2 linked regions of the Notamacropus eugenii genome follow. The protein of the gene in region 1 purifies or fractionates together with the protein of each later gene. This does not show direct contact. Links are inferred from orthologs where the notes say so. Each region holds a gene or a part of one and is shown in the gene's direction. Other genes may lie near its edges. The genes, in order: DAPK1 and IFI30.

What was found.
Region 2: the proteins of DAPK1 (region 1) and IFI30 purify together in Homo sapiens (affinity purification with mass spectrometry; 3 studies listed by BioGRID and IntAct, counting the BioPlex papers as one, with this or other methods). This does not show direct contact. The link is inferred for Notamacropus eugenii from reciprocal best matches to the Homo sapiens genes DAPK1 and IFI30.

The regions. Positions count from the first base shown.
Region 1 is NC_092874.1:330,613,992-330,629,100, reverse strand, and holds the start of DAPK1 (death-associated protein kinase 1), read left to right. Parts: upstream 1-7,611; 5' UTR 7,612-7,840; intron 7,841-7,914; exon of another isoform or gene 7,915-8,280; intron 8,281-8,387; exon of another isoform or gene 8,388-8,516; intron 8,517-8,833; exon of another isoform or gene 8,834-8,919; intron 8,920-9,294; 5' UTR 9,295-9,406; coding exon 9,407-9,468; intron 9,469-15,109. UniProt on the Homo sapiens protein: Calcium/calmodulin-dependent serine/threonine kinase involved in multiple cellular signaling pathways that trigger cell survival, apoptosis, and autophagy.
Region 2 is NC_092875.1:67,670,418-67,686,342, reverse strand, and holds the start of IFI30 (gamma-interferon-inducible lysosomal thiol reductase), read left to right. Parts: upstream 1-8,569; 5' UTR 8,570-9,615; coding exon 9,616-9,804; intron 9,805-11,891; coding exon 11,892-12,074; intron 12,075-12,173; coding exon 12,174-12,248; intron 12,249-12,429; coding exon 12,430-12,528; intron 12,529-14,210; exon of another isoform or gene 14,211-15,869; intron 15,870-15,925. UniProt on the Homo sapiens protein: Lysosomal thiol reductase that can reduce protein disulfide bonds. May facilitate the complete unfolding of proteins destined for lysosomal degradation. Plays an important role in antigen processing.

The DNA.
Region 1 (15,109 bases):
TTAGCCCATTTCCACTCAGATGTCAAAATGATTTTCCTAAAATGTAGGTCTGCTCATGTCAACCCTCAACTAAAGGAACTCCAGCAGGTCCCTATTGGTCCCATTTGAACTTCCTAGATTAAATAGAAAATCTTCTATTTGGCTTTCAAAGCACTTCGCAACCTGGCTCCTTACCTTTCCAGTCTTCTTATACTTTACTCCCCTTCGCATACTCCATGATCCCAAAAAAATGATGTTTCAGCATAATGACCACATTACTGTTGCTCCCACAAGATACTTCACCTCCTGAATGTGCCTTTTCACTGGCTGCCTCCCATGCCTAAGATGTTCTTTCTTCTGCTTCCTAGATTCCCTGGCTTTCTTGAAATCTCCATTCAAATCCCACTTTCTTCAAGAGGCCTTTCCCGTGATGTCGGAAAAACCTGGGAAGACTTACATGAACTGAAGCAAAGTGAAGTGAGCAACACCAGGAGAACATTGTGCATTGTACAATGTAATGTAATGTACAATGTAACATTGTAATAGCAACATTGTGAGATGATCAACTGTGAATGTTCTTCTCAGCAAGACAACAATCCAAGACAATTCCAAAAGACTCATGATGAAAAATGCTATCTAGCTCTAGAAGAGAATTGATAGAGTTCAAATGCAGATGGAAGCAACAACAATAACAACAAAAACTTTATTATTCTTGTTTGTTCATTTTGGTCTGTGTTTTCTTTCACAATATGACTAATATGGAAATAAGTCTGCATGATTACACTTGTATAAACTATATCAAATTGCTTGTCTTTTCACTAAGAGGGATGGGAGGGGAGGAGAGAGAGGGAGAGACTTTGAAACTCAAAATTTTAAAAAATGTTAAAAATTGTTTTTACATGTAATTGGGGAAAATATCATTTTTTAAAAATGTGGCCTTTCCTGGTCCCCCTCAATGCTAGTGACTTTCCTCTGAGATTAATTTCATTTACATTGTATACACATTGTATGTATATGGTTATTTTCGTACAGTCTCCCCCATTAGAGTAAGAACTTCTCTCGGACAGGGACTTTGTATCAGTAGGATCTAACACATCATAACCAATGAAGAAATTTTTCTTGACTTGATTTAAGTTGTTCCTAGTACATGGTATTTCCTCTTCTAACATAATGCCTTTTCAATGGCCATTCCCCACACCAGAAATATTCTCTATCTTTGTCTTTGTTTCTTGGTTTCCCGGATCACCTTCAAGGCTTAGCTCAAATTTAACTTCTCCAAGAGGCCCTTCACTCACATCCCTACTACTGGATCTTCCCTCTAATATCACCCTCTCTTTATCTTATGTAGCATTTCATATATATATATATGTATATATATATATACACATATATATATATACTCCTACACATACATATACACATACATACACATACACACATGTATGTATACATGTATGAATATGTGTACATATACAGACACATATACATATATAGAATATAAAATGTTTTTGTATATTATATATTTTACATAATAAATCTACATCTATTAAAGGTTGTCATTAAAACAGTCTCGGCTTTTGCCCTAAGTGGACTCATACTAAGAGTTCCTGCATACTAAGACTTAGGTAGCTCATAATTACCAATGAGGAAGGTGTTCTCAGGGATGTCCTAAAATTATTTATAATGCACATACATGTACTACTATATTAATATATTTTATATTATGAAACAAATACATTAAAATAAAAAAGGATAAGATAGAAGTGAAATAAACAATATTTGTATATTTTGTATGACGGAATAAAATTCTGGAATAGTATTTCTAGTAAGGGCCATGTAATTGAATATTCTTCAATTAGTTTTCAAAAACCCCTGAGTATGTCCTGGAGAATAGGACAGAATTATGAATAATAATGTTTGGTAATTACTCTGTTAATTTGATCAGTGTAGTTAGCCAAGCAGGTAAATCTGTTTTTTGTAGTTTTAGTTTCATGGAAAGATACAAGCAAACAATAGGTCATAAGAGTGATTGAACATAACAGCTTTTCAGTAGGAGTCATGTTTCTCTTTATGTAGATAGTCATCATACACAATGCAAAAATAATGAGCAAAAGTGAATTCAATCAAGCAGAAAGTTTTCAGAATAATCCATGCCTCTTTCTTTGAGTAGTTCTTCTTAATGGATGGTATATCTCAATATCTTATGCATGCTTGGATATTTTAGTTGTGGTTTTTTGTGAGTTTGGGGAACAGGAAGAAAGCCACTTAACTGTACCTTAAAGTGCAGGAAAGAAGTAATATATAATGAGAATGGAAAATTACACTGGGGCCAGGTCATGAAGAGGACTCAAAGTCAAAAAGAGGAGCTTATTTCTGATTCTACAACCAATAGGTAGCCAGTGGAATTTGCTGGGGGGGGGGGGGGTGACATCATATGACCTATATTTTAGGCAGAGGTGGTGAGGACTTTGGCAGGTGTAGAGTATGAAAAAAGTAGGGAGAGAGTTGAAGCAAGGAATCAAGGTGTGGAGATACAGAAAAAATTCAGGTGAGAGGTGATGAGGAGCTGAATTCCTCTATCACATCCTCTGACACAGTCTATCAGTTGTGAGTAGAGGTGAGAATTGTACAAGTGGCAAAAGCAATCAGGAAAGGCTTCTTATAAGAAGTGGCATTTGAATTGAGCTTTGTTGGAAGCCAAAAATTCTAAGAAGCAGAGGTGAAAAGGGAATGCATTCCAGATTTGATGGGGAGAGACTGTGTCAGGGCACGGAAGCGGGAATTACAATATCATACATAGGGAACAGGAAGACCAGTTTAATTGTGTTGTAGAGTATGGGAAAGGGAATAATGTTTAATAAGAATGCAAAGATAGATTGCAAGAAAGTTGTGAATTGCTTTAAATGCTAAAAAGGAGCTCATATCCAATGCTGGAGGAGATAAGAAGCTACTAGAGTTTATTGGTAGGGAATATTATAGGGTCTGGATGACTTTGGCAGATCTTTGGAAGTAATGGATGGAAAGGATATTTTGGAAAGAGAAGAAACTTTACCCAGGGAGCTCAATGAGGAGACTATTACAATAGTTCAGGTGAGACATGGTGAGGACCTGGATGAGAGTGGGGGCTGTGAAATGGACAGAGGTGTGAAGAGTTATAGAAGGAGAACACAAAAAACTTGACAACTGATTGGATACGTGGGGTGTAGGAGAGTTGAGGATTATTCCAAGTTTGTGGGCATGAATATCTGAAGGAATAACAGTGATTGAATTACAGAGAATTGGATTTCAACTTAACGTTGAACAATTAGAGTGACTGGAAAATGGAATGAGTTATTTTGAGGTAGAATATTCCCTCAAAAAAAAAATACTCAAAAGGGATGAAGTGGCTACCCAATAGGGACATTATAAATAGTATTCCTGTGGCCTGAGAAGTTAGACTGAATGACTTCTTAAGCCTCTTCCATCTTCCACCTTTTTCATTTAACTTAAATGAAAGTAAGAAAATCTTTCATTTAGGATTCTATAGAAATTAGTCTAGCCTCCATAGATATGTACGTGACCTAAATGGAAGAAAGTGTACCTAAAATATAAAATCAAAATGCAACAGGCCAGCACTTTAAGATAAAGATTATTTCTGCTAGAGACAGTATGGTATAATGGTAGATGAGGAGCTGACTTCACATAGCCAAGAAGATCTGGATTCAAGTCTCATGATACATAAAGACTGTGTAATCCTGGTCAAGTCATTTAAGCTCTCAACGCTCTAGGAAACTCTAAGACTATGAATTGCAGAGAAGGTAATGACATACTGATAGAGGGAGTTTTCTTACTTAGGAGCTCCTTCAGTTCAATCATTTTTCAGTTATGTCCAACTCTTCATGACCCCATTTGGGGTTTTCTTGGCAAAGATGCTGGAGTGGTTTGCCATTTCCTTCTCTATCTCATTTTACAGATGAGGAAACTGTATCAAACAGGGTCTCACCATGATCACACAGCTGGTAAGTGTCTGAGGCCAGACCTGAACTCAGGAAAATGTCTTCCTGACTCCAGGCCTGACTCTCTCTCTCACTCCACTGTGCCTCTAGTGCCAACGAAATCATAGGTCTAATCCCTATCCTCTTATTGTATCATTAATATTTTGAATTTAAACAAAAAATGTATATCTTGAGGATCTATAGTATCTCAGAAATCTAGCTACTTCCATTATAATGTAGAACTTATGTTAACAAAGTCAAAATTAATGAATATTCCTTTTTCCCTTTTAATCATGTTTCCCTAAAAGGGTAATCCATACCGATGACACTTACGGTAGGAGGTTGAGAAACCTAGGGTGTTATTCCTCTTGTCAACCCAGTGATAGTAATGCCATATGCATAGTGATAGAGTCAACGCAGTGAAAATATGGAGCCCTTGGACATCCCAACATCAGTTCCTACTGTTCAACTTGTTTCCTAGGTTCCTTAGTTAAGAAAGAAAGCTGATAAACTGGAAGCATCAAGAGGAGGTTAACCATAATGGGACCTTGGCCCAAGTCCAGATCACATGAGGAATATTTGAAGGAACTCAGAAGGTTTAACTTGAAGGGCAGAAGTCTTAGGAAGGACACCACAACTTCGTTTAAGTATTGAAGCACTGTCTTGTGAAAGAGAAGTTAGGCTTCTTCTGTTTGATCCTAAGAGCAATAAGTAGATATTGTCAAGAGGTAAATTTAGGCTAAACATCAGGTTGCTAGGATGAAGAGGCTGAAAAGTTCTAGGAAGAATCTCATTAAGATTTTCCAGTCTAAATGAACAGACACGTGTATGGTGACTTCAATGCAAATTTGGAAAAAATTGAGTATCAAGAGAAATACATATGAAACATGGGAAAGCATAGTTCAGGGGAAAAAGGAATGAGGGAGGCCAATGGAGATTATATCATGAAGCCTTTCTTTGAGGAAAAATGGGGGGTTCCCAGACATAGCAAACACCAAATTATGTTGCAAAAACAAATGAAACAAAATCCATAATATATTCTTTTTTCACAGACAGGAAAATACTTGCCTAATACTAATATGACAGTTTTACCTGAATCATCTATGTGTAACAGATAACTAATGTACCTGAGTTGAGAGCAGAATTATTAAAAACCAAAAGAATAATGAGGGGGAAAAAAAGTATACAGTTCTAACAACTCAGTCCTAAACTCTTTAAACAAGCAATTGACCATCAAAAATAGGAGACGGACAACAGATGACTGGCACTAATTATAATATTTTTATTCAGCAGTTAACTAATAGAAATTAATTGCCACAATGAAGAAACCAAGAGAGTCCAGAGAGTGCCTACTTGGCAAATAGAGAGAAATGAATACCAAAGACATCATGGAATCCAAGCTGAAGGGACATTTCCTGTGGGTGGTGATGCCCTGATGCTCCTTTTTGTCGATGATATTGTACAAATTATATCAACCAGCAAAATATTACAGGGTCTCCTGAAGGAGAAAATGTAATTATTTAGAGAATTTGAGTCTGATCATCCACATGGAAAAGACCAAGTTGATGAATATCTATTGCCTACCCTATGACATGTATTTGAATGGCTACCCTGTAGATACTGTCATCAGCATGGATGTATACATGTATACAACCTGGGTAGACAATAGAGATGGACAATGAGCTTGGGTGAGAGTTGAAGAAGAAAACAGCAGGATTGGTTGCTTTTAGGAAAACACAAAGCTCCTTTGATCCCCAGTTGTCCTGGGAAAAGACCCATATTTTTCATATCAATATTCTACTGATGTGGTTATATGGTGGTGAAATATGGAATACAAGTTTCTGAATAATTAAAAAAGGATATCACACAATGGAAAGGTGAATGCTGTGTGTGAGGACACTGCAACGATAATTGAGAGAACTTCAAACAACAGAAATTAAAGATGTCTTCAAGGAATGCTAGAAAGAAAAGATCAGGTTACATCACAAAGGCAAAGACTGACAAGTATATGACCAAAGAGTTCCTCTGGTACCTTCATTATGTCAGGAGAAAATGAGGAAGACCTCTAGTACAGTGGGGTATATACCTCTTTGAAGAACTTGTGGGAGAACAGGGACAAAAGTCATACAAGATGCACAAATATAAATGAGATGTGATTAGAATGGTTGAAGTGAACTTCCAAACTGATGAGATCATAGATCCATTTGAGTACTTGAGTCTGGAAAATTTTTTTAATAATTGGAGTTATCCAAAAGTGGGCTGTCTGGAGAGATAGTGAATTTCAATTCATTGGAGTTCTTCTGGCAGAAGATAGATGACCACTTGAGTATAGTGGGGGATTCCTTTTGAATAATAAATTGGATTAAAAAGCTCTTTACTAAAGTTCTATGATTCAATGACTCTAGGCCTTGCCTATTTTTATATCCCAGCATCAGGGAATCTCTTCTGCTCAGGCTCAGTCAGTCTTTATTCTGTGATTCAGAGTCTATTATATCTCCTAAAAAATGCCTCTGAGTCACTGTCCACTATTGCTGTCCTAAGGTCAAATGGACTTAGCACTTCTGTATTGTGACATTCCCTCTGGGTCATATTCCCTAACCCCCTGTAAATTTGCGTGGACCCTTGTAGAAGGTACCTAGATTTCACAAAATCAGGGTGAGGCTTCTACTTTCCTGCCCTAGTTTAAAGCGGTTCCAGTGTGATGAATAAAAAAAAAAATCATTCTTTTGGGGGAACATAAAGGCACTTTGGTCCAAACCTTTAAACAGGCACTGTCTGTTGAGTTGTCTTGAAGAGCACATTCACATGTACTTTCCAAAGGCATGACCGCTTTCTTACTTTCCAACTGACTCCTAAACATCTGTGTTAGATTATTTTCCAGCAAAGTCATTTGCATTTCTCTCAGATGAATCATATTTGTTATTTTCTGCTCATGTTTCTCACCTCTTGAGATCCTTTTGTATTAGTTCTGAAACCCATTACTGATATCCACACCACCTCTCAATTTAGAACCATCAGCAGATTGCATCTACCCGGCTTCTTACAGACCATTAAACAAAGTAACTAGACCAGGCCTAACACTAGACCTGGGCTACACTTCTGTTACTTCTCCCTCAAATGGAGGAAAATGCACAGAGAAGCACCATTTCTTCAGCTTGAGGGACTTATTTCAAAATTCCAGAGTGCTCTAGTTTTCAAGGCTGAATAAGTTGAAGAAGTGCTTTCATTGTGTTTTAGAACACCAGAGATTTGCCAGTGCTGGATAGGACTGCGGGTCTGAAATCCTGAAACAGAGCCTAGCGTTTGTATCTCAGTGCCACATCCCTACACGTGAACTATGGAGTGCACCCTCTTCACTGGGGTTTGTCATCACAGCATCCTTTTCTGTTTGGGGGTATCTCTCAGTAAGGCCATGACAGACATCCATTTTCCCCCAAAGGAAATCCTTGCAATCCAGTGCAGAACTGAGATTTGTGGATGGTAGGAGTGGGAGGCAAAGGTGGTTAAGAGTGGCTCTGAAAGCAGAAATTCTGAGTGTTCAGTTGATGGAGTGATATTCACGGGAGCCCCCATACCTCCCAGACTTCACTGGGCCAGTAAGTGCCGGGCCTGGGTCTCTCCTAGTCACCCTCCCCCCGCCCCGCCCCTATTCAGGGCGATACTTTTAGGAACCTGGAGAGAAGAGCCACGAAGACAGCTAAAGTCTGCAATCGCAAGACGTGCAACCATTTCCAAGCAGCGCTCCCACGGAGCCCAGGGCGTGGGCGTCTGTGTGTGCGTGGGGATGCCTGCCTGAGTGGGTGGCTAGGAGTTGGAGAGCGAGAACAGAACAGAACCGTCCCTCCATAGGCACGGGCAGGTTCAGCACTCTGGAGCTGGAGGGGAAGGTAAGTGTGGAGGTGGGTGGGTCGCTGCAAGTGGTGTTCCCTTATTGGCTGGCTGCCGGACTCCCCCTTGTGGGAGGCTGGGCGGGCGGGGGCCCCGAGTGCTGCCGCAGCTGGCTCGGCTCGAGTCCCCGATTCCACGCCGGGGACATTGTTTGCGCCGCCGGTTCCCTTCGCCAGGACCTGGAGCCGAAGGGGAAGGGCAGCAGCTGCCGGAGCGGCCGCCGCGGCGGGAGGAGGAAGCCGTGGGGGAGGAGAGGAGGTGGCGGCGAGGGATCCTCGCTCTCCCTTTTTCTCTCCGTCCCTCCTTCTCCCCCTCCCCACCCTCTTTTCCCTCTAGTCTCTGCGCTGCCCGAGCCTATGGTTGGCTTCCGAGAGCAACTCCGGAGAATTCCGGAGGCTTCCCCCGCCCCAGGCTCCCCCTCCAGCTGCAGAGTTTGGGGGTAAGTGTTCCCTGGCCCCCGCCCTCCCCCCGCCGGCTGTTTGTTTTGCTTTGGTTGATCGGCTTGCTGGATTCTCCCGGGCAGCGCCTCCGGGGAATGGGGGAAGGCCCTGGCTTCTCGGAAACTCAGCCAGGAGAGTGGGGTCGGGCCGGCGTTGGTGGGGACGGAGCCTCCCCTACCTAGCCTGCTCCTCCTCCCCTCGGTCCCGGCGTCGGCCCGGGCTGGGTCGGAAACAGGTGGATTGGGGCGGGGGCGTGCCGAGGGGCCCGGGGAGGGAGGAGGTGGGCGTCTTGGCTGGGCTGGCCTCTTCTCTCCCCCTGCCGCGGTGCGGTGCGGTGCGTGTTTGCGGGGCCGTATTGTGTCAGTGCGATGGATGGGGCTGCTTCTGCTGCTGCCAGCTGCACGTCCTAGTTGACCCGGTAACGGAGGGGAAGGCATTGTGGAATGTGCCGCCACTGGAAATTGCCTTCCGCGGATCTGGGTTAAATGGGATCGCTGGGGAAGGAAGGTATACGGAGGGAGGGGTCACAAGGTGACCGTCGTGGCAGGGGCTTGACTAGAAACCGTACCTTCCTTAGCTGCTTTTGCCTCCGAAACATTTTCCTTCTTTGAAGAGACGCATTCCGCCCCCTGGTCCGGGTACGTTTCATTCTTAGACTGAGAATGGAGGAGACTGGTGCGTGTGCGTGTGTGGAGAGAAAGGAAAGGAGGAAGCTTGGCTGGGTCCTGTTCTCTCCCTGAGCTGATCTGGGAGGACAAAACACCTTTTAAACGAACAAACCGTCATTTAGATTCCGTGTGTACATAGCCACACACGGCAGGGATAGGTTCGGGACCAGATGTAAGTTGTTGGGTTTTTTTTTTTTTTCCAGCAGTCAGTGCTTAACAAAGGCGGTTTCTCTCCCCAGATGCAAGGTGCAAATGTTGCCCCGAAATAGCATGCAAAGCATTTTTGTTGTGTGATTGTAAAGACGATAAGGGGACAATCTGTTTCTTTTGTATTTTCTTTTAAAGGCTGGAAAAATAATGCATGAGGTGCCCACGAAGCCTTCGAAGATATGGTGATAACAGGTTTGGGAAGTGGAGCTGAAGTCGGTGGGGCTTTGGTGAGGACTGACAGCTTATCATGACGGTGTTCAGGCAGGAGAACCTGGATGATTACTATGACACGGGGGAGGAGCTTGGCAGGTACGGTAGGCACTGGGACTCCTGTTTCTCTGTTGAGGGGATGATGAGTAATACTGGGGGCCTTGGGGTTGGGAACGTGTGAGGCAGGCTAATGTAAGCTGGAGTACAATACACACCCTAGCTGAGGTTTCTCTAATAGCAGCTCTGCCCCCGTCCTTTCTAAAAGGGAGAATTGTTAGAAAAGAGATTTACTAGTCACAAAAAGGGTGGTTGGAGTTAGAGATAAGTGGCACAGTCTGCAGGAAACTGTCTAGTACAAGGTCACTCAGAAATTCATTGTTACATTTTGATGCAAAGTGTATTGACCAGTCCAGGACAAGTGCCCATCTAATTCCCAGTTTTAACATTCTGTCGTGTTTTGCCCATCTGCGACAGTAGGAAAGATTCTGAGGCAATTGCAGGTGGAGAATGCTATTATGTATGATTTAAACAGATTGCTATTAAATAATAGAGTGACTAACAAATAGTAGGTTAGCATTAAATAATTCTAATTAGTTGGATTTTTAAATATTTAATTTTATCCAGAGTTTGGACTTTGATTCCAGGAGCTGTGATTCTTCATGTAAAAATCTTTCTGGTTCAGTTTTTAAATTGCTTTCTTTTTAGGCATTTGTGTACTGGTATTTTCTTGAAGCTGATAAATCATCATCTGCATAGTAATGATGGGTGCAAACATCTGTTGATGGAGTTCGTTGATTTTTAACTTCTTCAAAGCAATTTGAAAATTCGGTTGTTGTGGTGTTTTCATTTGTCTCATTTGTGCAGCTATGTTTCAGGCAATCCAATAAAAAGCCCAATATCATCTTTTTATTCACACGCAGTTTGGATTTTGATTCACGGGGCTGTGATTCTTGATGTAAAATCTTTCTGGTTCAGTTTTTAAAATGAATTGATTTAGGGGTGTTTGTGTATGGTTATTTTTTTTTTTTTTACGTTGTTTAATCACCAGCCTTATAAGGGCCATAAGCTTTTGGGAGCTTTTGCCTTCACCTGGGTAAATAGGTAACCTTTGTATTTTGCACAAAGTTTAGGAAAGATTGTACATATTGTATCTCATTTGATCTTCACAATTACCCTGGAGGTTGGTGCAGTTTATTATTCTCATTTTACAGGTAAGGAAACTGAGGCACAGCAAGGTTAAATGATTTGCCCAGGGTCATAGAGCTAGCAGTGTCTGAGGCTAGATTTGAACTCAGGTCTTCCCAACTCCAAACCCAGCACTTTCCCACTGCATCATCTGTTGCTATCATGCATTTGGCAGAAAACCTCTTTCACCCTTTAAAATGAAGTCAAAAGAAGGTGCCAATGGTGTATGTGATGTGAGTAAAGAGAATGGAAGGAACTGTAAACTAAAAAAAAAACAAACTTGTATGTATAGTCATATATGTATTCATACACAACTCGACACTCAAAGTGAGTTTCCTTTATTTTCTGCAAGAGAATTGTAACCACACCTAGTCTAAACTACTTCAATGTAATTTCCCAAATTTACCTTTTTAATTAAAAAATGAAAAATAAAAGTAATCTATATAACCTTCCATAACCTTCTATGACTGCATGATCTGTAAATAACATGAAATTTTGTAGCCACACAATGTGGCAAACATTTATTAAGACATTCTTATATGTTTCTGAGAGTATGTTGCTAAATGTCATAAAACTTAGTGATCTAGGTTTGGAGCCTTAGACACAGGAAATCGATTTAAATAACTTTTTGTGAATACATTTATCAGTATTCTGTTCTGTGGGACTGAAGTATGCATGTGTATGGCATTGTAGGGATATGTGGTCAAAATATTTGGTTTGGCTTAAATAAAGTCATTTGATTCCTGTGGTTTTGCAGCAAGACTTGTGGTATTTTGGAGTGGTCCTTTGGGACTAAAAGGAGGTGAAAAAATGTGGCATTAGCTCATTTTGGTTAAAATGGCCTAATTTATAGGGACTTCTGTATTTGAAAGATATGACTTAAAAGCAGTTGAAAGCACAGTTTAGTAAAGATAAGTCTACTTCCACATTCTTTACGAAACCTGAATTTCCTGGAGACCTTTTGGTCATTTTTTTGAAAAAGTAAAAAAATGAGGCCCACCTATTAAGAGAAGTTTTATAATCTGTGAAAATGTATATGCTTACAGTTTTTTCTCATTTTTATGATGTGGTCATTTGTACTTCATCTTAACTCTGGAGAGTGTTTTTTGCATGTCTGCTGTGTGGGGCGTGTGGTTCAAAAGAATTTTAATTCAATAATTTTACTTTTGAGAGTAAAGTGAATGAATCTGTTGATTTACATGTACTGGATAGAATTCTGGGGCTTGGAGTCAAGAAGATGTAGACTCAAAACCTGCTTATGTTACTAGTGTCAATGAGGCAAGTAATTTAATCTTACCTTTGAAATGCAGTTAATAACTCTGGTACCTACCTCACAGACTTATTGAGAGGCTCAAATGACATCGTATGAAAATATATTTTGCTAACTTTACAATTCTATACGAATGTCAGTTAATAATAAAAATAATGACTGAAGTAGGGGGTTTAGAAAGCTATGCATTGGATCTGTTTTGGAATGGTAGACTAGCCTGGAGGTAAAGTGATGGGCCAGATGACCTTTGATGGCTCTTTCAAACCCTGTAATTTTTTATGTCTGCACTGCAAATAACTACTTGCCCAAAGCAAGAAAAGATTTATTCTAAATGTGTAAGAAAGCATATTGGTTTCATAACTGTGTACTTCAATGGAAGGCAGAAAGACATAAGTTGGGGGTAGAGGAGGCAAGGTAGAACAGTAGGAAAAAAATTACAGGTATTAGTGGATTGCTAGTGTTGGCAAGTCTGTTTTAAGTTGCATATTATGAGTTGCTTGTTCATAATCTAAACGTGAGCATGTAGCTACAATAAAGTCATGTGAACAATAATTGCCTTCAAAATGCTCTCCCTTCTTCCAGCTACATAGCTATATCTTACCTGTCTTTTGATGCTGCACTTTTACTCATAAATCCACTTGATTCTATGGTGATTTCTACATGCAGCCATGAGGTATCATTTCTGCATTATTTAATTCTTGTATTGATCAATTTTATGTGTGATCTTCTACCAAGAAGATAAATAGTTTAGGGATAAAACCTGTTTGTTTGTTTTTTTAAAGGCTAAAGGCTAGGCCAATGTAACAAGCCCTGGAAGATATTACTATGTTGAAAAGACTTTGAATATTGTTGCTCAGTTGTATTCTGTTGTATCTCTTTGTGACTCAGTTGAGTTTCTTTTGGCAAAGTTACTAGAGTGACTTGGCATTTCCTTCTCCAGCTCAATTTACAGATGAGGAAACTAAGGCAAACAGGGGTAAGTGACTTGCCCAGTATCATAGTTAGAAAGTGTCTCTGGCAGGATTTGATCTCAGGAAGATGAGCCTGACTCCAGGCTCAGCACTCTGTCAGCGCCACCTAGCTGCGCATTAACACAAGCTTTGAAAGATATTACTACCTTGAAAAGACTTTGAGTATGGACTCAGTGACACCTTCCTAACTAAGTTAGAAGGTTGGCTGACCACCAGGTAGTGGATTTCTTTGATTACAGTAATTCATGCATAGTCTACAAAACCATAGAGAACTTCTCATTTTCATCAGGGGAGGATGTTCCCTTCCCCAATAGAACTGTGCATCCTTGAAGGATTCACTGAAGTAATTTTGTATCCTTTTCTCCTCAGATATAAATTCCTCCCAAATTCTATGTTGGCATTTGCATCCTCCATCCTGTGCTTTGTACATAACTCTCACTCAGCAGATGAATGCATGGGTAAACATTGATGGATCCTGTAGTACTTTACCTTTACAAAACTCATAGATCCCTTCTTTCCAAAACTTTGGAGATAGTTGTTTTTAATGATGGTAACAAACTTAGAGAATTATCACAGCTTTACTTCTTTTCTAGATTCATTTTTCTTTTGGAGGTTATATGGTTAGACTAATGAAAATACAAAAAAAAAAGACCTTTTTAAGCAAAAGAAATTGTTTATTGACAAAAATCTTCTATTAGTGAGATATAAAACTGAAACTAATAACTCAAGTTTAAAATCTTAGTTTGACATAGATTTTATAAGCATTTTAAGTAAGTGACAGTCATTTAAGGTAGCTAGGTGGCACAGTAGATAGAATGCTGGGCCTGTGGAATTAGGAAGACCTGAGTTCAGATTTTGCCTCAGATGCTTATTAGCGGTGTGAATCTAGGAATCACTTAACTTCTGTCTGCTTTAGTTTCCTCATCTGTAAATAGGAATAAGAATAGCAGCTACATTCTAGGGTGGTTATGAATCAAATGAAATGATATTTGCAAAGCACTTTGTAAATTTTAAAGCACCATATAAGTAAAAATTTAAAGAGCTATATAAGTAGTAGTAGTTGTAGCAGTAGTAGTAGTAGTAGTAATAGTAGTAGTAGTAGTAGTATTATGGTATTATACCATGTCAGCAACTAAGTAACATTTTTCAGTTTGTTTTAAATCCTATTTCTGATACTTATTATCTGTATGACCTTGAGCAAGTTATTTAAACTTCTCTGAGCTTCTTCATCTGTAAAATGGGGATAATGAGAGCCCCTATCTCGCAGGGTTGTTTTGAGGATCAGAGGAAATAGTTGTAAAACACTTTGAAAATCTTAGGATGTCGTGCCACTTGTTAGCATTTTATGCTCAACTGACAGGATTGTAGATTTAGAGCTGAGAAGGACCTCAGAAGTAATGTATTCTATCTCTCTCCTTTTAAATATAAGAAAACTGAATCCTTCAGAAGTGTCATACAATAATGAGTGGAAGAGAGTAGGTTTGAACTCAGAGCCTCTGGTTCTTTCCATTATACTGCATTGCCCCTAAATGTACACTATTACTTGTATTAGAGGGGTGTGTGTGCATATGTGTGTGTGTGTGTGTGTGTGTGTGTGTGTGTGTGTGCAGAGTCTTCAAAGAGTTCGACTCAGATGTGTTGTCTAATCTAGGCAAATACCATTTCAATTATTTTTAAATGCTGCTAGTACCATCACACTTTAATAATAGTTTTCAGGTATGTACAAGGATAATATAAGGCTGTCAATGAATAACAGTTTTTTTGATAACCAGATGGGAAGGAACGGGCTTGAACTGTATTGGAGGAGAGGTTGTGGATCATTGAAAAGTATTTATTAAGCACCCACATACCTTTAGGCTGCACAGGGTGCTGAATAGTCTCTTCATTAGGTACTCTCTCTCCTTCATAGGAAATTAAAATCTGATGCATCATTGGGTACACATGTCAAGATGTAAAAGGATAAATAGTGCAAAAACATTGCATGAATACTTACGTTCCATAAATAAATATTTACATTTGGGAAAAATTTTTTTCTCTCACATGTTGATTTCATGTATTGTATTTTTAGCTCCTTAGGAACAGAGACTATGCCTATCAGTAATAATAATAATAATATATAGCAGATGCTCAATAAATCCCATAATCACAGAACGTCAGAATTGGAAAGGACCTCAGAGGCTATCCAGTGAGACTACTGTAACAGTAATCCCTCTCTACATTAGCCATGTCAGATGTTCATATAACCTTTTCATTAAAGAGCTTGGGTGAGGGGGAACCCATGAGCTCCTGGAGCAGCCCACTCCATTTTTGGATA
Region 2 (15,925 bases), on another chromosome or scaffold:
CAAGGATTTGAAGGATAAAATTAGAGGGAAACGGAAGCTTGAGATGCATGGCTGTTGCTAAAAGGAAGGGTGTGGTATAGATGACAGAATAGCTTTTGAACAGGTGCTGAGGGGAGTGGGTTAGAGATTGGGGAAGACTGAAAAGGGGGTGCTGCAGTGAAGAGATGGTTGAGATTGTAGGATAAGAATTTGGAGTGGACCTATTCAGGGCAAGAGTATGATTTCTAACAGTTGGCATTCAACGGCACTTGTAGTGGAAGAGAAAAGGCAGTTTTGTTGTTCAGTCATTTTTAGTCATGTTCAACTCTCCTTGACCCCACTTGGGGTTTTCTCAGCAAAGATACTAGAATGGTTTGCCATTTTCTTCTCCAGCTCAGTTGAGGAAACCAGGGCAGACATGGTTAAGTAACTTGCCCAGGGTCACTCAGCTAATAAGTGTCTGAAGCCAGATTTAAACTCAGAAAGATGAGTCCTCCTGACTCCATGCCAGACATTCTATCAACTGTGTCATCTGGCTGCCCCCAGAAGACAGATGGTGAAGTAATTCCAGGGTTGGGGTTTGGAAAGAGAAGAGTTGTGATTGGAATTGCTAGGCAATGCATTAAAGGATAGAAGAGAGGGTAAAGCCAAAGTTGATTGATTATAGGGTCAAGATTTTGAAAGGAGGAAAGTGAAGTCAGAGCAAGGATCATTATCCTCGCTGGCCTGTGAAAGTAGGGAGGGAGTGAGCTACTGAAGGTTGTAGGCAAGACAGAGACTAGGTTTAGGAGAAAGAAGGCATGGAGAGAGCTGGAAGGACAGAAACTTATGTTCTCAGACAGAGGAATTTCAAAGTTGTGGATTATGAAGGAGAAACACCTAGGGATGAGGATGAGCTCAAGGGTGCAACCATCCCTGTGTGGGGCTGAGTGTGGGGTGAGTGAGAAAGTCATGAGAGCTGGGAATCTCGATCTTTGAAAGGAAATCAGCTTGTAAGTTGAACTCCCCAAGTATGAGGACCTGGGTTGGGGTAGGGAGAAAGGCTGAGCCAGACATGGAACTCCTCAAGAAAGGAGGCAGGAGGAGGGGGAAGGGGCAGGAGTCAGGGAAAGAATTTGCAACTCAATTTTTTAAAATTACTGTTAAGTTTTTATATGTAATTGGAACATATTTAGTGAAATAAAATAATTTTTTAAAAAGAAAGGAGGAAGAATGAGATAGGTGGTGGCAGTTGAGAACGGTCACCAAGATCTGTATCGGGTGACAAATTAGGAAACCCAAAGAAGGAGAAGTTGCTAAGTGATGAGGGTGTATAAGAGTATGCTTTCTCCTCTTCCAAGACCACTCTGAGGCCAGGAGGAAAGGGAGATAGTCTAAGCAGAGGTCCATCCAGAGCTGGAGAAGATGCCCAGAAGTGCAATCTCTTCTGGTGGAAGCCAGGTTTCCATTCTTGCCAAGAATGAAGAAGTATGAGAGGAAATTTGAAAGGATGTTGATTACCAATGGAATGGTGGCAAAACAGAAAGTAGGTTGAGTGGAATAAGGACAAGGAGAGTTGGAACTAACAGGAATGGGTGGGAGGGATGAGGGAGGGGTAGTCAAGAAAGGGATGTTCTCCCTTATATAAGCCTATGACTCTGAATCACAGGGATTCTGAGTCTAGGACAGTCTAGTCTAGTACTGGACTAGTGCTAAGATAACAGATTGCCATGCCTTTCCCTACAGCCATAATGCTTTATGTTTAACTTCTTGGGCAAAGCATGTTGGGGAATGAAGTTGGGGGATACAGCCTCTGGGCAGATAAGTGGTAAATGGCTAGGCCTGCCTAATGGTCAAGGCAGAGTTCAGTGGAATTTAATAAATGACTACAGATTGATCAATTTAGGCTACCAATTAACGGCCACACAGGTCAGCTCTACCGTAGGGTTGAGTAGATAGACTCTAGCCAATATCAGGGTATTGTGTTGTTCTAGGAAGCAATTTTCTTAAAGTTTCAAATCTTGATGCTCAATTCTTTTTATTTTTAATGATACCTCCCCAAAACTCCTCCCCACCCTTTTCACATCCACTAGAATGCCTTCTTATAACAAATAAATATAATCAAGCAAAACCAGCCAACAAATAGGCCATGAATAGAAATGTATGCCTTATTCTCCATCTGGCCATCTACTTCTGCCATACTTAGAGTTGGGAGACATGATTCACCATCCATCCTCTGAAGTTAGGATTGGATACTCAAAGAGGTCTGAAGTCTTTCAAGGCCATTTTCCCTTAGCCTCCAGGGAAAATTGTGTAAATTGCTTTCCTGACTGTCTACTCACTTGGCTCTTCATCAGTTCTTTCTGTTTTCCTGAATTCTTCATTATAGTAAGTTCTTACAAAGATAAGAACCTAGTCGTTGTAATATACAACAATTTGTTTAGTTATCCCCCAAATTGATAGCAGATTTTGAAAGGACATTGAAGAATCAGAAAAGGGAAACAAGGATAATGAAGGTTAGGTCTTGTCAGGTGAGAATGTCTTAAAGGAACTTAGGGATGTTTGACTTAGGAAAGAGAAAACTTTTTTCTTCAAATATGTGAAAGGCTGTCATGTGGAAGGGATCCAGGTGGCCCAGTGGATAAGACCCCTGAGCCTGGAGTCAGGAAGACCAGAGTTGAAATCTGGTCTCAGACACTCCCTACCTGTGTGACCCTGGGCAAGTCACTTCTCCTCTGTTTGCTTCAGTTTCCTCAACTGTCCAAATTGGGATAATAATAACACCTATCTCCCAAAGGTTTGCTTTGAGGATCTAATATGATAATATTTATAAAGAGTTTAGCAAAACCCAAAGCATGATGTAAAGGCTGGTTGTTAGAGATTCTATGCAATCTGCTTAGACCCAGAGGAGAGAATTGGGACCAAGAGAGAGAAAATTCTGAGAGTAAATATTTAGGAATTTTGTCCTGATGTCAGGGAAAAAAATTCCTCAGATGTTAAGGAACAAAGAAACTGAAATGAAGCACCTCACGAGGTTCCCCCTTAGGGAAAGTCTTGTCCAAAAGGCTAGAAAACTCCTTGTCAGGAAGGTAGGGAATGTTTTGTGAAGGGGCAGGTGGTTACATATTTAGATGGTGTGTCACAAACTGAAATTGCTGAAAGAGGTCTTCTGTGTCATCTAGACCAACCCTTTTGCTCTACAGAGGACGAAACTTAGGCCCAGAAGAGGAAGGAAATTTCCAAGATCACCCCATGTACTCAGGATAAGAACCTCAATTTTCTAATGCTCATTGGGGGAAAGTAAGGAGAAAAGTTGAAGAGGGAAGCTGGGAGAAGGGAAAAGTGCTGACTGCAGCTTCGGACAGGTTGAGGTGGGGTTGCTGGTGGGACACACATAACCTGGCAGGAGTTCAGGGGAGAAGCCAGGGCCACAGATATACTTCTGGGAGTCAAGTAAAGTCAATAAGCATTTTTAAAATAGTATTTTATTTTTTCTAATTATAAAGACAATTTTTAACATTCATTTTCTAAAATAAAATTCTGGGTTCCAAATTTTCTCCCTCCCTTGATCCCCTCCCTAAGACAGTAAGCTATTAATATGGATTATATATGTGCAATCATGTAAAACATATTTCCATATTAGTCATGTTGTGAAAGAAAAAAGAGAATAAAAGGGGAAAAACACACAAAAAATTAAAGTAAAAATATTACTCTTCAATCTGCATTCAGACATCATCAGCTTTTTCTTCAGGGGTGGGCGGCATTTTCCGCCTGAGTCCTTTGGGATTGTCTTGCCGTTGTTGACCTGAAAACTTAAAAAGAAAGACAACAGGCTGAATGCATACATTTTATGATTTAATTAATTAATCAATCAATTCCCCATAAAGAAAACAGTTACATAATGCATTATGGAGCCAGAAATGTTCTGGCTACCCAGTGCAGAAATCTTCTGGCTTATATACATTTTGCCATGAGAAAGGAACTCTCCTAGTTGAACAAATCATAAATTTAGTAAGACAAGACAATTAACAAAGCAATGTCAGTCAAGTCTTGAGATTCCAAGCTGGGTAAACATATGTCCCAGGTGGTAAGGAAATCCCACCACTAGTAAGTGGCAGGCTTCCTGCCCCAAACAGGTAACTGATGCAGGAAAGGGCAAACAATGTTCAATAGAAACCCAGGATGCCTATTTTTTCTTTACCATTAATATGCCATAACATAGTATGTGTCTATAGATAATAAGATACAAAGGAAAGTCCCATTATTCAAGATATGTCATAGGTTAAAGGACTCCCAAGGAGTGCAGAGTCAGCTTTGGCTGGCTTTTGCTGACATAGGAAGAGGCATTCTCTGAGTTTGCTTCAGAGAGAACAAAGAGATTATTCCAAAATTTTATATTAAACATTATCACCGTTATCGCCCGTCTCCCAATAATGTTGCTCCAACAAGCATTCATTAGGCACTTTATGGGTGCCAGGCATTGTGCTAAACAACTCTGGACAAACAAGCCACAGACAGGATAAACTGAAGCTAATCAACCGAGGGAAGGCACTAGAATCAAGGGGCACTGGAACAGTTTTCCTGTAGAAGGAGTGTTTTAGCTAGGCCTTGAAGGGGGCGCCAGGAGGTGGAGGTGAGGAAGGAGAGCTTTCCAGGTGTGGGACATTGCCTGGGCAAAGGCCAGGAGTTCTTCAAAGGGCACCTTGTACTTAGTGCTGGAGAAGATAGGGATTGGGACAAGATCCATGGTTTCATTGGGAAGGGAACTCCCAGCAGAAAACACTCCCTTTGCCAAGGCCAGTGGGTACCTGCTCTGCCACTTAAAGGGCTGAACAGAGCTGTGGGGAGCCCAGATCACAGCCAGTATGGCTCAGTCCTTCCTGGTTTGAGGACTGATCTCCATCCACTGTTATGCTATTTCCTGGGCTTAATCCAAATGTCTTTTCATTCATTCAAAGTTTCAATACAGTTTAGTCCTTGTCCTCCAGGACCCAAGGCACAAACACAGACAACTGGAATTCAGTTACAAGAAGTGTTTGTTAAGTGCTTGCTATGGACCAGGCAGGAGCTCAGCACTGGGGATCCACATACTAGTAAAAAGGAAAGACAGCCCCTGCCCTCCAAGACTTTCCATTCTAATGAGGGAAACACCAATAAAGGAGTTCAGAAGAGAGGGGGAGGAAAGCATGTTACCCAGGCAGGTGAATCTGGGAGAGGAGTGAAAATGGCTTTCCTGAACCCTTCCTCAAAATGGACTTCCCAGGAAGAAACTGATCAGTGAGAGAAGGGGGTGAAAGGGGTAAAAGGGTATTCCAGGGCCAGAAGGCCAGAATAGAAGAGATCACCTCTGGGGGAGAGGCCAGCCGAGGAATGAGTGTCAAAGCTGGAAGGGCCATCTGCATTTCAGATACGATCTAAGGAGAAGGGAGGGTAGAAAGTGTGAGCCATGGGAAGGGATGACATGACCCAAGGGGAGAAGGGAAAGGTAGAGGAGAATAGAGCAGACAACAAAACCTTGAGTGACTTTCAGGTTGTGGGACAGGAGGAGATGGCTGAAAGAAAGAGGTGCAATAGAAGCAATCCAGGAGAGGAAAGACCCCAAAGTCTGGGGGCTGCCAGCCTTAGTCCTCAGAGCTCTGGGGGAGAAACGGGGTTCCTGGGTTAGAGAGAAAGAGCAGAACCTTCTAGGTTTCCCCAGCTGACAAAGCTTTGCCTCTGGGATTTGTTTCAGGGCATCTGCACTCTTTTCCTGTATCAGTGACTACCTCTCCCCCTTTCTTGTCCCCAAGTCCCTCAGAGTCCAGGCAATTCATCTCCCTACCTTCTTCCCAGGCTGATGTACTTTGAAAAGCAATTCTAAGGAAATTCAAAAGTCCCTTAGGTTTCTGTAGGAGGGGCTGGATGGTTAGGTAGCAGAACAGCCCTGGAAATTCCCAGGTCCTAGAGGTGCTACTGTTCTTTTCAAAAATTTCTAAAGCAGTCATTATTGATAAGAGATTAGAACTGGAGGAATTCCTTTTCCTGGAATCCTGAAAGGTTTGTATCCTGTTGCTCCAGTTAAGTGGAATACTTTCCTGAAATCTTGTGGGACAGCTTAACATAGCTTTTCAGTGATTTTATAACAGATCATGACAGTAATTGTACCCAGTGATCTCCCCAGAGAGAGGAAAGGCTAAAGAGAACAAAAGAAAACCCAAAAAGGAAGTAATGAAAAGCTGAGCAGCTTTAAAAACCGTGTGTAGTATTTATTACATAGGTTTTCTTGAAATGGAAGTCCGTTATTCTATATTTAATCCTCTCCATGGTCTGCTGTGTACATGGCACTGTTTTTTTTCTTTTCTCATTTTGTAAAGAGGTGATCCTTTGTATCCAAATTCAGGTTGACATGTGACATTTTGATGCACACCTGATCTAAGCCTTGCCCTAAGCCTGCCTAGGCCAGCCCTCCTCAGAAAGCACCACAGATAGCCCAGGGCCCATGAGCTAGCTACCTCAAGTAGCACCCCAAAATAAATCCAGGGTCCACTGCCTCCTTACTATAAAAGAGAAGTGAAGAGTGGCTCTTGTGGGCAGGGGATGGTTTTCCTTTCTGACCCTGCTGAAATCTTGGAGGGGTGGGGTGGGGTGGGGTATGATGGGTTGTAGAGAAGAATGTGGGTATCCTTGGGGGGATTAGGGCTGGGAAGATTCCAAGTTCTCTGCCCTCAGCTTCAACCTCAGGAAAGGAGCCATCACATCCATCCATCCATCCATCCATCCATCCATCCATCCATCCATCCATCCATCTTTCCTTCCTTTTAGTTAGGTAGAAGACTAAAAGGTCTCTGATGTTTCTGACTCCAGACCTGACAGCAGTGGGGGATGGAATTCAATTGGGAGTTGACCTATGGTCCAGTCAAATGGCCTGTTTGTTCTGAACACAGCATTCCGTCTTCCATCTTCCTTTGCATAGGCTGGCTCCAGGGGGCCATCTCCAGTCATCTTGATTTATATCTTGCCACAGGACCCAAAGGGCTCTGGAGGAGAAAGTGAGGCTGGTGACTTTGAACAGCACTCCGTCATTGTAATCCAGTTCACTTGCCAGTCATCTTCCTGATGCCTCAGTCTTCTTCTAGAAGGAAGGACAAGCAACAGGCTGGTTCCCACACCTAGCGTGCTCTCAGAACCCTCTGGCTGCTTTCAAAGCTCAGCTTTAGTGTTGCTTCCTCAAGAGGCCTCATCTGATTCCCCCAGTTGGTCATGTGCCCCTTCCTCCCATTGATCTGTGAACATAGAATCAAAGATGAAGGGAGCCCTCATGCCCCATACCTTCTCCTCTAGAAGATACCTCCAGCCCTTTGGCCCCTTTCCCTGACTGGTCATCTCCTCCTAGACCCTCTCTTTTAAGGAAGGGCCCAGGCTAGACTGGTTTCCTCCTTCATTCCTGATCAGAGTTCACTCCTGACTCTGGATTTCTTTCTCTATCAAGTCCCCATTCAAGGACATTCACCTCACCTCCATCTTCAGCTTCCTTTTCTGTGTTGTCTCCTTTCCCTCCCCCCATTCAAATGGAAACTCCATGAAGGCAGGGAATATCTCTTTGTTTCTATTTGCACTTCAGTGTCCAGCACTGTGCTGGGCATACAGTAAGTGCTTAATAAATACTTGTCTCCTATAACCCTTTTCTCTCTGACACCATCACCCCACTAGTGCAGACCCTTATCACCTCAGGTTGGGAGTCTCACAATAGCTGCTGGTGGACCTGCCTGCCCTAAGTCTCTTCCCACACCAATCCATCTTCCATTCAGCTGCTAAAAAGATCCTTCTAAGACACAGGCCTGGCTATTCTTCTCAGGAAGTTCCAATGTGACTAATTAGAGAAATGCAAATTAAAACAATTTTCAGAGACCTCCTCACACCTGTCAGATCAGACAGAATAGGAAAATGACAAATGATATACATCTTCCCAGTTTTTCTGAAAGCATCCTGTTCATCATTCCCTATAGTACTAAAGTATTCCATCATGATCATGCAACAAAACTTGTTCTGCCATCCCCACTTGGTGGGTATCCCCTCCATTTCCCATTCTTTGCTACCACAAAAAGAGCTGCAATAAATAGTTCCCTACACATAGGGCCTTTTCCTTTGCTCTTTTTGGGATACAGACCTAGCAGTGGTATTGCTGGATCAAAGGGCAAGCACTGTCTGCCCTCCCAACATAGTCCAGAATTGGCAGGGAGTATTCAGTGTGTATTCCTTCCTTCTCACCATCTCTCAAATCTCATGTGTCTGTTCTAATGTCCCATCCGGACCTCAATTTCTGTGTCCCAGGGTCTCTTCCAACACTCAGTCTTGTGATGTTACGGATCACAAGGACTGGGTAATCCTCACCCAGTTCCTGGGATTCCTTCCCCTGATATTTCTTCATTTCTCTTTCTCAGTCCCCAGTGAAGACTGTGACATTAAGGTGATAAGAAACTTCCAGGGAACACAGTCCATTCTGACTCTTTTCTATATAAAACTCCTCCCCTAACCTGCCTTAATATACCCCAAAGTCTGGGGCAAGGCCCAGGGAATACTGGAAGGAGCCCAGTGTGCTCCACCCAGATTCCAAATGGGGGTCAGACTGAGACCTTTGTTAAATGTCCTCAACTTCTAAGCTCTTTTCCCCACAACTCCCCTGCAATCACACACCCTGCTCATTGTTGTTTTCTGGGAAGTGGCAACAGGATTAGGGGCATCCAGAGAGAGTGGGGGAAACTCCCACTTCCAAAATTAGTGAGGGTCTCTGCAATTGCTAGCTGGTCCAGCTCATTTCTATGTAAGGAGTCCTTTTAAAAAAATAGTCAATTTTTTAACATTCATTTTTCACATCTTCCAAATTTTCTTCCTACCTCCAGTCCCTTTCCCAGTCATTGAGAAGGAAAGGAATATGACACCCATTATGCTTCTTGAGGCATGGAATATGTATTTCCATATAAGCCAAAAAAGAAAAAGCAAAAGAAGGAAAGAAAGTGATTAAAAAACCTCCCAAGGGCAATCCCATGCTTTAACCTACAGTCAGGTTTATTAGCTCTCTCCTGAAGTGGATAGCTTTTTTCTCAAGAAGATTTCTTTGAAATTGTTATGGACATTGTCTTGCTCAGGGTAGCTAAGTCTTTCCCAGTTGGTCATGGTTACAATGTTGCAGTTTCTGTGTTCTCCTGGTTCTGCTCGCTTCACTTTGTTCAGAGAAGTCTTCCCAAGGTGTCCTTTTGGAAAGACCCTGGGACAGGATTTCCCTGGTGCCCTAATTGAGGGAGAAGGTTGTTCTTTAAAGATCAAATACCTTTATTCCACACCCCTTATTTTCAGATGAGGAAACTTTGAGGCTCAAAGAATCACAGGATGAAGGATCACTTGGTCCTAGTCCACCTCTCCCCATTTTCGAAACAGTACGGGAGCTGTGCTGACTGCTGTGGCCAAGTGGAGGGATCGGTAGGGTCTATAGGTTCCTCCCTCTTTCCCCCCTCACCCCCAGCCAGGACAGCTGGGGGAGGCGGGGACAGGGGCGGGGACAAGGAGGGCGGGCCAGACACTGCAGGGCAAGGAGGTTAAAGGTTGGGACTGAGCCTCATTGTACAACCAGCTCATCTACACTCAGCTCTCCGCTCCGCCAAATCCACCAACCTAGGCCTGATGGCTTGGGCTCCTCTGGCGTCTCTGCTCCTCCTTTTGCTCCTGGTACCCGGAGTGCCCAGCGTGCCCTGTCAGGTGGGAAGTGGCAGTCACTCCCAACTCCACCGAAAATCGCAATCCACAAAACCTGTCTGTACTCAGCCCGTCTACAATTGGTGCTCCTCCTGGGAAAATTCCCGAATCTGCCAGGTACTGGGTCCGGGACAGGAACTGTGGACTAGAGGACGGCTGGGAACTCGGGTGGGGCTGGAGCATGGGAATGGGGTCGGATCCTGAGCTTTTTTCCCCCGGAAGCGAGGCAGGTACCTGGCGCGGCGCAGGCAGGGCAGCGTCCCGAGGCGGGCCCCTGGGACATCTGGTTCTCCCCCACACTGGGACTGCTTCAGACGCTGGGTGAGATAGGCGCCAGCTACATCAACCTGCCAATGTCCGGGCCAGGGGAAACGGGAGTAAGACCAGGGTCCCTGAATACCAGACGGCTTCCTGGGGGACCCGGCAGGACAGAGAGTGTCAGACCCAGGGGCATAGAAGCCCGGACCTGGACAAAGAAACCGAGAGGGTGAAGTACTTTCCCTCCAGAGCCAGAGGTAGCCAGGGATGGGTGGGGCTTCCTTGTTTCTAAGTGGCTCCACAGCTTTTTTTTTTTCCTACTACTTTTCCTAGCAACTTGGAAGACAGTTTAGATTTGACTTGAGGGTGGAGGTACCCAGGAGAGGCTCACCTGGACGTAGGGCTATCCTTACCCCTATAGGACCCTGAACTCCCTCTTGCTCCAGCCTGGGGTCACCGTGCAGTCAAGTGTCTCTAGAGGTTGCTCCCTAGAGTTGGAAGCTGGGAAGGGTGCTGGGGAGGAGGAGAAGAGTGCTGAGGGAAAGTCCAAGGTGCTGACAATGGAATGGGTCAGGATTTCTTCACAGACCCCATGACAGTCACATGGTGACTAACCTGGAGCTGATTTCTCAGTGGTTTCAGAGGATGGGCAACAGAAGTAGGAAGTTGTCCCCAGTCAGTGGTTATAAGGGATCTTCTCTATCCTGAAGAACAGGAGAGCTGAGGGCTCTTAGAACATAGTGCTAGAAGAGGACTGCAGGCATCTATTGTAGGGCCAGACACTCTGGTGGTGAGAATGCCTGTGCCAGAAGGGCCCAGCAGATTATCAGGTGCCAGTGTCCTTATCTGGCAGATAAGGAAACAGGACAGAGAGATCTCTGCCAGTCCATCAGCTGGCCAGTATTTATTAAGTGCCTAGCCTGTGCCAGATGCTTCTAGGGCCTGGCTAAAACACCAAAGGGAAAGTCCCAAAGGCCTCTGTCCATGAAAGAGTTGCCACTCCACTGGGGGATAGAACATGCCCACTGCACACAAGTCAATCTGGACTGCATGGGATGTCTACATTCATTGGCATAGGAAAGGCTCTGGTGAGCAGTCTCCCCTCTATCGGGGAAAGTTGCCACTTTCTCTACAACTTAAAATCTAAGGGAGTGTCTCAGGTACTGAGGCCAAGTGACTTGCCCAAAACTACTTAGCCGCTATGTGCTTAGGACAGGACTTGAACCCTGGTAGTCTTCCTGGCTTTGCTTGTAGGACACATAAGAGTATGTCTATATGTCGATATAAAAGTATGTGCATGTATGTCCATACAAATATGTCTAGAATATATAATACATATTGATGTGGGCAGGAGGAAGACATTAACAAAGAGGTCTCTTGATGGAGGTGTCACCGAGCAGAACCCTAAAGAAAACTAGGTGTTGCAAGACAGAGGTAGGGAGGTGGAACACTCCAGAAATCCAGAACATTCCTTGCTTGTGCAAGGACCTGGAGATGGGAGATGGGGCCTCATGTTCTAGGAGCAGTAGCTGGCTGAAATATAGAATGAATGACAGGGAGTATTGTACAATGAGTTTGGAAAGACAGGCTGTGTAGCCAGAGTCTGATGGGCACTGAGTGCCAAAGAAAGGAGTTTGTATTTTTTTGTAACAGCAGACGAGGACCAGGGCCAGTGAAACTTCCTGAGGACAGGAAAGTCAGTTTGGCAGCTGTGTGGAGGATGGATTGGAGAGAGCAGGGCTGGAGGCAGGGGATCCACTCAGACCCTGCAATATCCCATGCAAGGGACACTACCAGGGGACTCAGCTGCTGTTGGCTCTCAGGGTCCCAACATGCCTCCCCCTACATGGGGAGGAAAGTAGGGTGCAGCTTCGCCTTAGAAGCCTGTCACACTGATCATACTTGTCTGTCTACCACCAATGTGACCTGATGTGCCCATCCTGCAGGCGGAAAAGGAGTGTTCTGCCCAATGGAGACCTTTGGATGCCCCTCCTGTCTCTGTGAAACTCTTCTATGAGGCACTGTGTCCCGGCTGTCGGTTCTTCCTGTCCTGGATGCTTTTCCCTACCTGGGTGCTGCTGGGTAAGGATGTCATGAATGTCACTCTTGTGCCTTTTGGCAATGCTAAGGTGAGTGGTCCAGCTTGGGACTGGGGTGGGAGTGACGGTGGGGAGTTTGCCTGCAGCCTTCTGCCTTCCCCTTCACATCTTGGGGTGTGTATTTTTCAGGAGACCCAAGTGAATGGGACCTGGGAATTTACCTGCCAACATGGGGAGCTGGAGTGTGAACTCAACATGCTTCAGGTAAAGACTCTTCTGCTCCAAACCTCTCCTGGAGGTGTTGTGTGACTGTGGGCTGTTCACTTAAACTCTGGGCTTCCTTTTGCATTCCTGGTACATTATGGGGAAGCAGAGTGTGGAATATTTCCCAAGGGAAAGAATATTCTTCCTATCTGTTTCTCAGTCTTATTCTCTGCTCCTACAGACCTGCGTGTTGTACCTCCTTGGAAGTCATTTTCCTAATGCCTTTGTTGTGGTCAACTGTATGATGTCAGCTGTTGATCAGACCACCTCACTGGAACCAGTAAGTGCCTGCCTGGTCTGGCAGGGGGAATGAGAAGGGAAGAGAGGAAATCTCTTCCAATACCCCTTTGTCTCTGCCCAGGGGCTACAGTTGGACTGATGCAGCCCTGAGGCAGCATTTCATTGTCCTGGGATCACCTAAAGGACATTAAGACCTGGTGCAGGGCAGGAATGGCTGTAAGACCTTGGAAAAGTGACTGCTGGTTCTTTGAACCTTGATTTCCCCATGAGTAAAGTGGGGATAGTGGAAAGGTGGTTGTCAGGATCAAGTAAAAGTCACTGACATGGCAAGTACCAAGACCAGAAAGAGGTATTGGTAATAGATGGAGTGAAAGAAGTGAGGGAAGTCATTTTAATAGTATTAAGTATTATTATAATACTAATTCATAATTATATAAGTATATTATTATTACATTGATAGAAAATAAATTTATAGTTAATAATAAATAACATTAATTTCTATGGGTATTACAATTTCCAGAATGTTCCACATGACTGCTCTTGTGAGAAGAGTAGTGAAATTATGTTATATAGAGGCAAGAGTGGAAATCCCCATACACAACAGATTACTCATCCTTTCCTGGACCCACTTCCACACTTCTTCCTTTAGTGAGGTTGGGTCTTGTTGTCTTAGATGGTTAGAGCATTAATGGATGGTCCATAAGTAAAGACAGGCACTTTCCTTACCAAATAGGCTAATTTGAAGGGGCTTTCTGGAGAGCACTACTAGCTTAAATCTCCTCCAGAGAATGTGTCTGTGTTCTTTAGGGACCCAAAGGTGGCAATATTTCAGGAGATGAACTTTGAAGACAGGGTTCTTTAGAATGGGAGTGAATTCCTTGAAGGCAGAGACTTTGTCTCTTTGCTTTTCATTCTGTACCTAGTGCTTAGCACCCAGTAATTGCTTAACAAATGTCTGTTGACTGATTGAGACTAGTCCAGACAAGTAGACAGATTTGTTGCCTCTTGATGGGTGCATCTTGTGAGTATTTCCCCTGCCCCCTGGGGAGAAGGGAGGTGTGGTGCTCCTTCTGTCTTCTCATTCCATGGGATTCTTGTCCATGTCCTTTCATGGCTTCTCACTGGAGGGTCCATCCAAAGCATTAGAGTCTTTACAAATTTCATAGACACTAGACATAGACACACTTTCTAATGTTCATCCCACACTGTTATTGTGTGACTGGCATACTACCTTTGCCAATCCTATGTTCACTTCTCTTGAGATACTGGTAGTTTGACTGGTTTCTGCATAGGCTGCAGCCTTCATCTGTCCACCATCATCCTTTGAATCACCTGGACTTGTTACTGTTGGGGGTAGTTGCCTATGTTTTTCATCAGTATTAAGGAACTCTTAGTACGGAAATGACTTGTGGATTTCCAGTTGCCTGGTCTTAGGCTCAGAAAGTTTCTTGAGGAAATTTGGTGACTTGCCCAGGGTCACACAGCACCAGAACCCAGGTCTCCCTACATCTGAGATCAGCTCTGCTGAATCATACTTCACCCAGAGAATTCTGGTATTAAAAAGGGCATTCTTTGGTGGCAGGGATGAATTCAAGTCCCCCTCTGGATATTTAATGGTAGCCACGTGCCTATCATCATACTAGGCACTTGGCAATACAAAGACAAAATGGAAGTCAGGCCCCATACTGATATTTTCCTAGAGAACCTCATGAAACAAACAAGAAAGGTAATGAAAACTTTCATTTTTGTAGTGTTTGAACATTGTCACACAGCTCAAAGAGGGAAGTTGTGTAGAAATTGCTGTTTCCACATTAATTTTTTAACTGAATCAGCTTTTCTTTTTACATTTTTATTTTAAGATTTGAATTCAAAATTCTATCCTTTCCTCTCTACCTTCCTTCCCCCCTCCATGAGATGGCATGCAATCAGATACAGATTATATGTATGCCATTATATAAAACATTTCCATATTAGTCATTTTGTACAAGACTCAAATAAAAGAAAAAATGAAATAGAAAAATAGCATGCTCCAGCCTCTGTACAAACAATATCAGTTCTTTCTCTGGAGGAGGATAATCCTTTGGGATTATCTTGGATGGTTGTATTGCTGAGAATAGATAAATCATTCACAGTTCTTCATGGAACAATGTTGCTGTTAAATGTCCTGCTGGTTCTGTTCATTTCATTATTCATCAGTTGATGTGAGTCTTTCCAGGTTTTTTGGAAATCATCCTATTTGTCATTTCGTATAGCAAAATAATATTCCATTTACAATCATATATCACAGTTTGTTTAGCCATTCCCCAATTGATGGGAATCACTCCATGAATCAATTCATTTTAATAAACAGAAATTTATCTTCCTTATCTCTTACCTAACAATATTCCCCAAGAGATAAATGGTTAAAGGACATGAACAGGTAGCTTTTAGATAAATAAAGCTATCTATAGGTATATGAAGAAGTGCTCTAAATCACTTTTGAGTAGAAAAATGCAAATTAAAACAACTCTGAAGTACCACCTCACACCTATCAGATGGACTATTATGACAAAAAAGGCAAATGATAAATGTTGCAGAGGATGTGAGAAAATTGGGATATCAATGCGTTGTTAGTGGAGTTGTGAAGTGATTCAACCATTCTGGAGAACAATTTGGGGTATGGTAGAACAAGGTGTGGCATCTGAATGTAATGGAATACTATCATGCAATAAGAAATCTACAACAGGCAGATTTGAGAGAATCCTGAAAAGACCTGTACAAACTGATACAAAGTGAAATAAGCAGAACCAAGAAAACATCGTACACAGTATTAGCAATACTGTGATGATCAGTTATGAAGGACTCAGCTCTTCTCAGCAACACAGTGATCCAAAATAAGCACAAAGGGCTACATCCAGAAAAAGAACTGATGGACTCTGCAGATTGAAGCATATTTTTCTCACTTATTCTTTGTTGTGTTTTTTTTTCCTTTTGATGTGTTTCTTCTTTCAAAAGTGTTACTAATATGGAAATGTTTTGCATGATGCCACATGAATAACCTCTATCAAACTGCTTATCATTTTTGGAAGAGGGGAGGGAGAAAATTTTGGAACTCAAATTTGTAAAAATGAATGCTAAAAATTGTCTTGACATCTAATTGGGAAAAAAAAATACTACTAAAAGCAACAACTAGCCTGGAACAAATATACATAGTTTTCTGCACCAGCCATATCCAAAAAAGCGTGTCTTTAGGCCTCTTGAGTTCATCCCCTCAGGTAGGAGGTGGGCAGCATTCTTATTCATCCTCAATCCCCTGGAATCAGGACATTGCTTTTGTTGTCAGGATAATGGAAGCTGAGAAAAATGAAGGGATTTGTCAAGGGTCCCACATCTAGTCAGAATCTGGGGATAAAGACAAAGTCCCATGAGCCTTCTGAAACTCTGTGGAAGGCGGTAGG